Linked DNA regions of Rattus norvegicus. The protein of the gene in region 1 interacts with the protein of each later gene in a pairwise test. Links are inferred from orthologs where the notes say so. Each region holds a gene or a part of one and is shown in the gene's direction. Other genes may lie near its edges.

Region 1 (3,646 bases):
AAACCCAACAGCAACTTAGAAAGCAGAGTGATGCTTGCTGGGGCCTAAACCCAGGAACCTGGCACTTGGGAGGCAGAGGTAGGCAGATCTCTGTGAGCTCAAAGCCAATCTGGTCTACAGAGTGAGTTCCAGGACAGCCAGGGCTACACAGAGAAACCCATCTTAAAAAACAAAAACAGGGGTTGGGGATTTGGCTCAGTGGTAGAGCGCTTGCCTAGGAGGCACAAGGTCCTGAGTTCTGTCCCCAGCCCCGGAAAAAAAAAAAAAAAACAAAAAACAAAAAACAAAAAACAAAAAAAAAAACAACTAGTTAATTAATCTAAGAGACTAGAGAGATGACTCAGTAGTTGAGAGCACTGTTTTTGTTCTAGAAGATGTGAGTTTGGTTCTCAGCACCACCTTTGGTGGTAACACCCGCTGTGGGAAATCAATATTCTGGTCACTGAGGGCACCAGCTTATCGGCTGGAGAGATGGTTAAAGGTCTGAACTGCCCTTGCAGAAGACTCAAATTGACTTCTCAGAACCCATGTCAGGCAACTCACAACCACCTGAAATTCTAGCTTCAGGGGATCCATCACCCTCAGCGGGCCTCACAGACACCTGCATTTTAAACATAAAATTAAATTTTATTTAAAAGTTAATTTTTTTGCCTGTCTATGGTACGTATACCCATAGTCTCAGTACTTGGGAGGCTGAAGCAGCAGGGTCTCCCCCTTGAGGCCAACCTAGATATACAGCAAAACTGTCTCCAAGAACAAAAGCTTCCATGGCCTCACGCTAGACAGTGCATCTAGAATTGATGGGCATCTGAGAATCTGGCTCCTTTTGGGCGGGGAGAGGTTTTGTCTCTTGAGAGAGGAGGTATGTGGTGGCCTCAGGCTTCACTTCCAGAGTGTTGGGCTGCAGGCGTGTGCCACCATGCCCAGCCAGGATCAGTGTTTACCTGCCCTCCCTCCTGAACCATTCAGGTCAATGTGACAAACAAGTCTGCACTCTGGCATTTCAGAACCCCGGGCAGAAGGTACCTGAGGTCCTACATGCTGACTTGTCACCTTCGTGGCACATAAGTTAGGGTGTACCTGCATTGAACAGGCAGTGAGAAGACCCCATGGCATTTATAGGGCCTGACTTAGGTGCCACAATAGTAAAGGCCACTGCCCAAGAGTCCCCGATCGCAGTCTCTCAGATACATTGTGTTTTCTCATTGGTGGGTTTTCCATCACACATCCCCAACATCACATCCCTCTGTATGCACGGAAATAAAATTCCTGCAAACTCTTACCTGCATCTCTGTCTCTTCCTGCAGCTGGAGAGTTTGGGTCAAAGTGAACTGGCTTCAAGACTAACTCTCAATTGTCAAAATTCCTATGTGGAACCTCATAAAATTCGGGATATCCCTGTCACCATCATGGATGTAAGTTTCTCTTGAAATAATACAGGTACTTGCCATTATAAATATATAGCCAAGATATAATTATTTGGACATTAACCACGCTTCTTCAAATACACCTTGGCCTTTTCAGTTTCACAGTAACCTACTGCTCATCCTGGGTTTTTGCTGACAAGAGTGACAGACACTCTTGTCCTAGGTGCTGGTGAATGCCGTGATCCCAGCACTGCAGAGGCAGAGAGGCAGGAAGATGCTGAAGTTGGAGACAACCTGGTTACATAGCAAGTTCTAGGCTAGCCAGGGGTATAGACTACCTCAGCTCTCCCCCACCAAAAGTTAAAGAATAGAGTCTGGAGAGTTGATGATTCGGTGGTTAAGAGCACTGGCTGTTCTTGCATAGAACCCGGGTTTGTTCCCCAGCACCTCTGTGGTGGTTCATAATCATCGGTAACTCCACTTCCACAGGATCTCATCCTTCCTGGCCTCCTCAGGTATCAGCATATAGGTGGCATGCTGATATTCACACAGGCCAAATACCAACATGTAAATAAAGTCAAATTAAGTAAGCATGGGGGGAGGTGTTTAGGGTGCTGGGAGCAGAACCCATACTTCTCTTGTGCTAGACAGGCACTCTGCCACTCAGCCAGACACCTCCAGCCCTTGGGTTGGAGCATTTTGTTTTTTCACCAACAGGTGCTCTAAAGGTCTAGTGATTTCACATGCACATACCCACACAAAGAAACACACATAATTAAAAATAAATTGTTGGTTTTGTTTAAGATTCATTCTGCAAAGGTGGCTCGCTGGTTATAAAAGAGATTGTTCTTCTACAGACCCTGGGTTCTAGTCCAGTTGCCCACATGGCATGGCAGATCACAACTCTGTGTGTGTGTGTGTGTGTGTGTGTGTGTGTGTGTGTGTGTGTATCTCCTCAAGACAGGGTTTCTCTGTGTAGCCCTGGCTGTCTTGGAACTGGATCTATAGACTGGCCTCAAACTCAGAGATCCACCTGCCTCTGCCTCCCAAGTGCTGGGATTAAAGGTGTGCACCCCCACTGCCCGGCTTCACAATCTTTTTTTTTTTTTTTTTTGGTTCTTTTTTTCGGAGCTGGGGACCGAACCCAGGGCCTTGCACTTCCTAGGTAAGCGCTCTACCACTGAGCTAAATCCCCAGCCCCCACAATCATTTTTAACTATGGTTCAGAAGTTCCGCTGTCCTTTTCTGGCCTGCATGCAGGTGGTACACAGACATACATGCAGGCAAAACACCTCTAAATGAAAACAAAGATTCACTGGCCCCACAATGTGTCTGAATATCATTATCTTAAGGCTGAATGATACTATTACATACATTGTACATCTCCTTGACATCTAGGCTGTTTCCAACCCAGATGTTTGGCTGTTGCGGATGTGTCAGTTAACATGGTGTAAAAGCATCAGAGTCTTCGCTTTTTAGATATTGGGATTTGGACTGCAGAGATAGCTCATTTGTTGAGCAGTTCCTGCTCTGTAGAGGATGCAGGTTCTGTTCCCAGCACCTACATGGCTCCCCACAACTGTCCATAATTCTAGCTCCAGAAAACCCAGTGTCCTCCTCTGGTCTCCTCGGCTACCCACACCCATAGTGGCACACCTGTAATTCTACTTTAAACTTTCTGAGGAATTGACACAGTGTCTTCCAATGGCTGTATCATTTTACATTTCCCCCAATAATACACAGGGTTCTGGTTTACTTAACATTCTGACATTTTGGATTTGAGTCCAGCCTTTAATAGCTGAACCATTTCTCCAGCCCCAGAACCTGCATTAAAACAAACGAACAAACAATAAACACCAGGCATGGGGCGCGTCCCTGTAATACCACCCTTGGAGAGGCGCACACAGGCAGGCTCCTGGTTGGCTGACCTGCCAGTCTAGCCTGCTTTGTGAGTTCCAGGCCATCGAGAGATATCTGAGGTTGACCCCTAGCTTCCACATACACACATATATGCATGCATATACACACAAAATATACATATACTTATCTTTAAAATATTTTCAAAAATTATTTTGTATGCATGCCTCAGAGCATCTGAAAGATGTCCAAAGCCACGTGTGCTCAGCTTCCAGAACACCTCCTCCCAGAAAGAGTCTGAACTTCTGCCTTTAGTCTTTTTTTAAAAAGATTGTTTTACTTTATATGGATGGTTTTGCCTGTGTGTATGTAAGTGCACCATCTGGCCATGGGGCCAGATGAGGGCGTTGATTCCCCTAGAA
Region 2 (4,446 bases), on another chromosome or scaffold:
GTGCTTGTTTGATCCCTGGAAATATATAAATGGAGTGTGGTGATGGTACAGGCCTGTCATCTTAATCTCAGTTCTCAGAAGGCAGAGGTGGGAGGTTCAGAAGTTCAAGGTCGTCTTTGGCTACACAGAGAGTTTGACATCCGACCTTATCTCGGAAGGAAAAAAAAAAAAGTCAAGAACCTTTCTTATTCTTCTCTTTTACATAAAATATGAACATTCAGTCAGTTTCAGCATAATAACAGATTTCCCAGACTGTTTAGAACTTAGTAAACACTTCCTTAGTACATGTCTTAGTTAAGTGATTGTTTCATAGAATGCTGGTCTTTCTCAAAAGTTACTTTCTAAAAACTATATCCTAAATTAAAATAAGCTGGGCATAGCAGCTTTCACATGTGATCAGAAGGCTGATCTTTGTGATGTTGAACAATTCTAAACCAACAGATATATAGTGAGTTATTGTTCAAAACAGCTATAAAGTAGCTACATATGTTCACTTCTGAGTAAACAGAAAAAGGTGAGCATTAGACATATTAATATTTATAGTCATATGATAGTCATGAAATGTCAGTGGAGAGCTAGCATCCACAAGCAGAAGATATAAAGTGTCTACATAAATTACTTCATCAATGCTGCAATCGATCCTTATTTTAGATATTTGATTAATAAATTTTAGAAACATTTCTTCCTACTTTGCTTATAAAAACAGGTCCTAATTCCTAGGCGTTTGTTTGCCTTTTTCTAGACCCCACCCAGTCTTCCAAACTCAACAAATTTCTGGTGTTGATTACTCTTTGCTCATAGTAAAATTATTGACTTTGTGCTTTGTTCAAATGTTACTCATTTTCAGCTGTGCAGAATTTAATAAGCATAGACAAGTATCTATCTGGGAAGCACAAAGCAGACTTCAAAGATCCTGTAATCTGATATTATTACGGTTGTTCTGTCTGAGGTCCCAAATTGGTGTTTTCATTATTTCCTATCCCCTCCATGTGACAGATTTGGTTTTTGGCGCTCTTGACAGCTAAATTAATCTCTCTCCAACTATTAGATTGGCTCTTTGTTATATCCTGTTTTAAGTCACTATGCTGAACAGGGTCTCTAAATTACTTAGCTTGCTTTCCTACGGGTTCGCTTCCTCATCCCCACTGTCTCAGAGGCTCTCCTTTCTCTTCCTTACATTTTTTTTTTTTTTTAAACTCTTTTACTTATGAGGGGGTATTTAAATTCCAACCCGGAACTTGGGATCGCGCGCCTTGGATGACGGGAGTCGTAGTTTCCGTGACTTCTGGGTAACCGCCTTTCAGGCCCACTCCTGCCCTCAGCGAAACCCCACAAATCCCAGAATGCACTCTGACAGGCCCGCCCCCTGTGCGCAGGCGCCCTGTGGCCGCAGGATTTGAATCGGCGGCGTTGTTATTGACGCCATATTGGGGCCGGCGGCGGGTGGCAGAGTTGGTCCGTGAAGAGAGGGTCGAGTGCATTGCCTAGCTCTGTGCGGCGGAGCTACCACTCCGCTCCCGCAAGTTGCCGCCGCTCACGAGCTTCTGTCTACACCGGCGTGTTGGAGGTCGCGTTTCGGTCGTGCCACTGACCGGGTCCACTTCCGAAGGGAGCCGGTCTCCGCGCAAGAGCCTCAGCGCGCTCAGCCCGAGCGCACGGCGGGGGCGGCCCGGCCTCTCGGGAGCGGCCCCGAGCGGGCGGCGCGACCCTCGCGCCTCGCCCGCCTGCCCTGTCGCGGCTCCTCTGTCCCGGGCCCCACACCTACCGGGCACCTCGGAGGGCCCGTTTGCCCCGGTCCTTCCCGGCCCCGCCCGAGCCGGGCCTCGGCTGCCCGCCGCCATGGCGTGCGGAGCCACTCTGAAAAGGACTCTGGATTTCGACCCACTGCTTAGCCCGGCATCTCCGAAGCGGAGGCGGTGCGCGCCTTTGTCGGCACCGGCTTCGGCTGCCGCCTCCCCTGCCGCCGCTACCGCCGCCGCCGCTGCCTCTGCCGCGGCCGCTTCGCCGCAGAAGTATCTCCGGATGGAGCCTTCCCCCTTCGGCGACGTCTCCTCCCGTCTCACCACAGGTGGGCCTCGGCCCCGGGGCTGCCTGGGTGGGCTGTGGCTGGGCGCTTGGGTGCGGACACAAAGGGAGGGCCTGAACCAAGGTGGGGGTGGTGTCGGCAGGTTGGGTGGGTACGGGTCGGGTTGGTCGGCATTGTGGGGTACTTTATTGTGAGGGAGATCATTTGGGGTAGGATCACTGGAATCGTTTCCTTATGTAGGGACTCAGCGGAAATGATCAGAGAGGGTGATATTATTCATAAGTCGGGCGAGAGAAGGGTCACATTTCACCCGAATCTCCCGGTCTCTTGGGCTGAATCGATTGGTTGCAGCTATTAACTCAGTGACTGAGTGGTTTGAGGCGAGAAGGCAGCCCCTCCTCCATTTTAGACTTGGCTGGTTTTAGTATAGAAGGGGTGGGGTTTGGAGGGGGATGGATGTCACTGGGGCGAGTTGTAGGCCTGTCATTAATCACCCACAAGAACGCCACTTTGGCTGAGTCAAGACCTGTTTCCCTAGCAGGGTCAACAACAAAGCAAATGTTCTTCCCGAGTACTGTAAAGTGATCTCACTATGCGTCTAGTCCTTAAGAAATCTTGAACTTTTAATGAAAAGGAAGGTGTACTTCGAATTGAGACTGACTAGTTAATTTGTAAATTATCCCAACGAAGTATGTTGGGAGAAAACAGCCTAGCCTCGAGAGTAACGAATAAATCAAGATTCCAGTGGACTTCAGACTTGAAGTCTTGAACCATTTTCTGAAAGTGTCTGCCGAGTTGTACCTTTGATTGCTTTTGTACACTAAATGTGTACCTAGGGATTATTTTCCCCTCTGCATTTGGAAATCTTTGTGTGCCACCGGCACAGTTTTTGGGTAGGCTTTGATGGACTTGAAGTGTCTGTTTCCTTTGTGTGTGGCATGCAGTGTATGTGTGCCTGTGTGTGCAAGCCCTTAGTAATATCCTTAAAGCCTTTGATCAGCTTTAGGTTTTTTCTCAGTAACTCATTTTAAAAAGATGGGAACTATAGAGTTCTGTATTTGGTAACATTCATCTGAAACTGACTGTACCATGTGGTTTTTTTTCCTTAATGTCACATTTAAATATTCATATCCAAATCCATGGTGAATCTCAGTTACCTACTCTTGCTATTAAATTTTTGATCTAATGTAGCCTAATGCTGTTTTAAGAATTGCAGTCAGTTTTCATAGGAATTTCAAGAAGTTTATTTAACATCATACGTAAACTGCCCCTCCCCCTAACATATATACACATACATACATACATACATACATACATACATGTGTGTGTGTGTGTGTGTGTGTGTGTGTAAAAAGGTACTGTTAGAGGAAGGCTTAGAGATCTGTGGGTCAGGACTTCTAGGGAAGGACTATCATATTTACATTACTATTTATAACAGTAGCAAAATTATGGTTGGGGGGGTCACCACAACATGAAGTACTGTGTTAAAGGGTGGGCTCATCAGGAGGGTTGAGAACCCACTTCTTTAGACATTACTGAAAAACAAGGGAACAAAGTGAAGAATGAATTCCTTGGGGCAGACATTTTTGTCTTTAATGAAATGCTCTTTGAACATTGAAATGGTGTCCGATCTACTAATGAGGCCATTTCAAAATAGCTGTAACTAGCAATAAATTTCAGTGGAGTTAGTGTTAGGTTTGAGAGTTACAATATATCCCTATGCAATTAAAATCTTGAACACTAAAACAGCAGGGAGCTTTGACACCTTCCTTTTCTTAAAGGGAACTTGTTAAGAAACTGTAATGATCATCTTCCAATCTGTTGTGTCAGTGCTGTATCTGTAGAGTGGTTAATATTCTTCACTTCTCTCGGATCTCAATTAGTAAAATAATTAGGATTGTTGTTAGTCTTTTAGCCAGCTGACACAGTTTGATCACATCTTGGAACCTAAAATCACATGCTAATTGATATTTTTAGAATTTGCTAAATATTAAATTGGCATTTCAGTTAATTTGAATATTAATGTAGAAGATTAGCTTCTTGAAAAATGAGGGAAAGTTGCTAAAGTTTGAATTTGCTAAAATGTACACATATTTACTACGCCATTTTTAATGACGTAGTAAATGTGTGGTTGAACCTTTTTAGGCTAAACCTGAAGACCTGGAAGTTTATGCAGAGTATGTCCTTCTTGGTGTTCTGTTTCAGGTACTTCCGGTTCTCCCCTGCTGGTGTCCTTGAAGTCTTCAGTGGCACGCTAGTAGTTTCAAGAACTTGGGCACTGTTCTAAATGCTGTTATTTTAGACATTCCAGGAAAGTGATTCCAAATGTTGATATGACTGCTCTTATTTAAGTCAATATTTTTCAAACTTGCAACTTAATACTAGAGAAGAGGGCTAGTTGAAGGAAGTCTAGCTTGCTT
Region 3 (4,326 bases), on another chromosome or scaffold:
AGGGTGTGCCCATGGCAAAAGGAGTGTCTGGGAGACAAGTCAAAATACACATTCTCTAAACAAAATAAAGATGGACAATTCTGTCTGTGAAGAATTTTCACACATTTAACAGAAATTCAAGTAACTGTATGACTACAATGTAGGAGGAGGAAGGCACAAGTAGTGTGTATTGTGCTTAATGCAGACAGAGGAGGGGTACCAGGGAGCTGAGGGAACATTCATTTCCCAGTAATTACAAAGCCTTCTGTACCTCCCTTTCACACTAAACCAATTCCTGGAATAAGAAGAGGTTACCTTGTTGAAGCATGGAAAGGCAGGCATGTTTCTAGAAGACAGAGTGATTTTCAAAACCCCAGTCTTGCCTGGTGGAAACAGGTAGAGGTTTCTTGAAGCTGGAACAGAGGAGGGGAGGGTCAAAGCAGTAGCCACTAGAGATGAAAAGTGTTCCTTTGGCAAGGGCTCCATGCCTGGCTAAGGAGTTTGATGGCCTGCAGGGGAGGGGAAGGCAGCTTCTTGAAGTAGAGAGTAACAACTGCAGTTTGAATTTCACTCTGTAAGCATGATCTGTTGTCGCTGCCTCCACTTCTAAGGAAGAGAGTAGGGCAAGCCATAATTGGGGGTAGGGGTCTCAACAAAAATAGCAGAGGGATTGATAAATATACTAAGGTGTCCAACCAGCAGGGCTGTGGGGCAGTTAACTGTAGGCTTTCTTTCTAGATGTCTGCGTGGCTAGTGGAGCAGTCTTGGTATTTTATTTGTTTGTTTTGGTTTTTTGACATAACCTCACAGTGATGCCCAGGTTGGCTTGGAAAGGAGGCATTCCTCTTACTTGTGCCTCCAGGGTGCTAGGATTACAGGCACGAGGCACGGTGCTTGGTTAGAGTTTTTATGCGGCCAATCCTACTCCTGGACACTGCTGATGGACCTTAGATTTTCCACACTTAGGCCATATATGAAATGATCAGAAGAAGGATTGAAGTCCATGTTTACCCTTGGAATGGGTTTCCCTGTAGGGGGTGAGTGGTTTTAGATTCATCTCAAACGTTTGAATTAAAAAAAAAAAAAACAGGCTGGTGAAAATGCAACACAGCTCTGTAAACTCACAAGCGTCAGATTTCTGTACGTTTCAGGGCATTTTAACTACACTTAATAACAAAATGGCAAAACAATGCTGTGTCAAGATTTCGTGAGCTGAAGGTCACAGGAGGATATGAGCTCTTAAAAAAACGAGTGAAAGCAGAAAACAGCATAAGTGAAAACTGAGCACTCACTGTAAGTGCGAGCGCGGAAAACCAGTGGGGTCAGAACAAAGCTGCTTCCCGCTGGTGGGCGGACAGGAAAGGAAGATCATAATGCTGTGCGGAGGGGAAGGGAGGAGCCCTGTGGGCTTGGCCCCGCCCCCACCTCCACTCTGTCTACCCCTTACCCCCTCCCAGGCCTTGGCTCCGCCCTAAGACCCCTACCCTTTCCCCGCCTATCTTAGCCCCTCCTCCCTCCATGACGCTACCTCCGGTCTCCAGGTAACGCGGGGGGTCAAACAAGCGGCGGTTGAGGGCATTAACTATCTTCTCTCTCTGGTCGGACCCTTGATCCTCTTCGGACTGTGACAGCCATGGCTCTACCGCTTCTGCCTGGCAACAGCTTTAACCGCAATGTGAGTAGGCAGGAAGCCCAAGGTCTTGGTCAGATCCTGGGAGTCAGACAGAATCTGGGAGTGTTCATCTCCTTAGGTCCTACCTGCTAGGTAGTTCCTGCCATTTATTCCTGTGTGCTGAGTACACCTAAAACTTCATGTTCCCTCACCCCTTTCCTTCGAAGTGCATCTGAATGCTTTTCCTACATGACATCTAAGTATAGGAAGTTGGGCCATCCAAAGTAGTTGGTGACAGTGATGATAAAAAGAAGCACTAAGTGTTTAATGTATGTGCGGTGCCGTGCTTTAATCGCTCTGGGTATTCTCCATAGCTGTTTGGATTATATCTTTTTGTTCCCGTTTACATCTTGAGGAAACTGAGGTCTTCGAGGTGATGCTAGTTTTCTTTCAGGCAGCTGGTCTTTATAATCCATGAGTCTAATTATTATCTTTAGTACACTGTGTGTAAAAGAATAAACTTTGCTACTAAATAGAAGAAACCCGGAAAGAAGCATGGCAGATAGGGAAGCCTTCTATTGGCCTATAAAGTTTAGTGCCACACAATGGAAATGGGCACCTAAGCACAAAACCAAGAGATCACAATCCCTAGAACAACAAAGAATTCTGCAATAAGTAGCCACATACCTAACAGGAGGAAAACTAGTCAAGCTTTTGTTTTCTAGGGGTTACTGTCTTTTGCATGGGTTTGCTAATGTCTTTAGGAGAAGTTAATATAAATCGATGAAAAGGACTTCATGTGGAGTCAGTCACTCAAGGTGTTTGTAAACTTCAGCTCAAAGTTTGCAAAACACTCAGTGCACTGAATTGACAGATTCTGAACAGTGTCTGTATCTGAGTTGATGGCCCTAAAGGGCCAGTATTGTTGTAGATGTTCTATTTGAGGTTGATTTTTAACCCCTCACATCAGCTAGTCTGTTAAACTTTGAACAGTGGCTTGCACATTTTGTTTCTTGGCTGATGTAAGTTAGAGGCTGGCCTCTGAAGTGTAGCATTGTTCTTTGGAAAGATTAAATCAGCCAAATAAGAAAGGCTCCAAAAAAGAGGGCATGAAAAAAGATTCCAGAAATAAAGAAGCATGCTGTGCAAAAGTAATTTTAATAAAAAATGTAAGCAGAGTCTACAGCTTTTGGCTCAGCTACGCTTCTGATTACTGATGCCCACTGCCTGCAGAAGTATCTCAGCTCTCACACGCAGTGATTAAGGGTGGGTAGAGAAAAAGAGTGTTTGGATGAGATATTTTAAAATCAGCAGCATAGTACTGAGTGTTCTTTGCTTTTTATAAAACTTATTTTATTGGGAAGAATAACACATGCAGAAAAATGCGCAGTAGATGATCACAAAAGGAACATCAAGAAATAGAGTACTACCACTACTCTAAAAGCAGCCCTCTTGATTATACGTGCAATTTGTAGTAGTTAAAAATAAATGTTCTGAATATTACCTGGGACCTATTATTACTAAAATATTACTTGTTGCTTCAGATTCAAATTTAACTGAGCAGCTTGTGTTTTATGTGGAACTCTATGCCCCTTCCCACACCCTGTTAACCCATACACCATTCTCCAAATGGAACCACTATTTTCCCTTTTGTCACTATTGTTAGATTTGGCTTCTTTGGAACCTTTTATATGGGGAAATATCCTGTGCTTTTTGTTCTGTGACTTTTTTGGTTCAGCATTGTATTTGTTAGATTTGTCCATGTGGATAATATGTCATTGTATGAATATATCATACATATATGTGTGTGTGTGTGTGCATATATCCTTCTGTTTATTTTATCTATTTATTTTATTCTTGATAGCTCTTTGGAGCTTTTACAAATATTCTTGCTATGATTCTCTTGTTCACTTCTTTTGGTGTGATTGCTTGATTGGATGGCACTGATACTGAAAGCATTAGTGAACCCTGAAAAGTCATAATTCTCATTGCCATCAGCATTTTTTTACTTATGTGTTTTTATTTCCAAATGCCTATAGTGTTTAGTCTTTTAAATTTTACATATTTTGGTCAGTGGTTGCACTGCAATTTGCAATCTTAAAGATTTATTTTGAATTTTTTAAACTTACTTACCTGTGTGCTTGCCGCATGTGTTCATGTGTATGTAGAAGGCAGAAGAGGGCATCAGACACCTTGGAGCTGGAGTTACAAGGGAATTGTGAATTGTTGAGGATTCTGGGAACCAAACTCATCCCCTGGAGAGCAGCAAACACTCTTAACCCCTTTGTGGTTTTAATATGCATTTCCCTGACTTCCTAGTAAACTTGAACATTCATTTTTACACACCTTTAATCCCTGCACCCAGAGGCAGAGACAGAGGCAAGTGGATCTTTGTGAGTTTGAGTCCAGCCTGGTCTACATAATGAGTTTGAGGACAGCCAGGGCTATAGAGAGACCCTGCTAAAATAAAGTATCAAAATTGTCATTTCTTTTGTGTAGTGGGCACACTTGACTTTCATACAAATCCACAAACTGGCCATATGGCTTATATATATTTAACTTGATAAGAAAGTAACCCCCTGTCATGAGACAGGGTCTCATGTATCTAGTCTGGCCTCAGTTGGAACTCATATTTGGCCAAGGATAACCTTGAACTCACGATCCTCCTGTCTCGATTTTCTTAGTACTTTGAGAAGCCTGTGTTTGGTGGCCTGTTTTGCATTGGCAACAACAAT

Evidence for each region.
Region 2: the proteins of Spg21 (region 1) and Akirin2 interact in binary tests that used the Homo sapiens proteins (3 or more experiments, as listed by UniProt). The two-hybrid records come from large-scale screens. The link is inferred for Rattus norvegicus from reciprocal best matches to the Homo sapiens genes SPG21 and AKIRIN2.
Region 3: the proteins of Spg21 (region 1) and Efhc2 interact in binary tests that used the Homo sapiens proteins (3 or more experiments, as listed by UniProt). The two-hybrid records come from large-scale screens. The link is inferred for Rattus norvegicus from reciprocal best matches to the Homo sapiens genes SPG21 and EFHC2.

The regions. Positions count from the first base shown.
Region 1 is NC_086026.1:74,896,525-74,900,170, forward strand, and holds part of Spg21 (maspardin), read left to right. Parts: intron 1-1,307; coding exon 1,308-1,415; intron 1,416-3,646. UniProt on the Homo sapiens protein: May play a role as a negative regulatory factor in CD4-dependent T-cell activation.
Region 2 is NC_086023.1:53,902,894-53,907,339, forward strand, and holds the start of Akirin2 (akirin-2), read left to right. Parts: upstream 1-1,641; 5' UTR 1,642-1,839; coding exon 1,840-2,068; intron 2,069-4,446. UniProt on the Homo sapiens protein: Molecular adapter that acts as a bridge between a variety of multiprotein complexes, and which is involved in embryonic development, immunity, myogenesis and brain development.
Region 3 is NC_086039.1:7,942,205-7,946,530, forward strand, and holds the start of Efhc2 (EF-hand domain-containing family member C2), read left to right. Parts: upstream 1-1,521; 5' UTR 1,522-1,612; coding exon 1,613-1,654; exon of another isoform or gene 1,655-1,713; intron 1,714-4,326. UniProt on the Homo sapiens protein: Microtubule inner protein (MIP) part of the dynein-decorated doublet microtubules (DMTs) in cilia axoneme, which is required for motile cilia beating.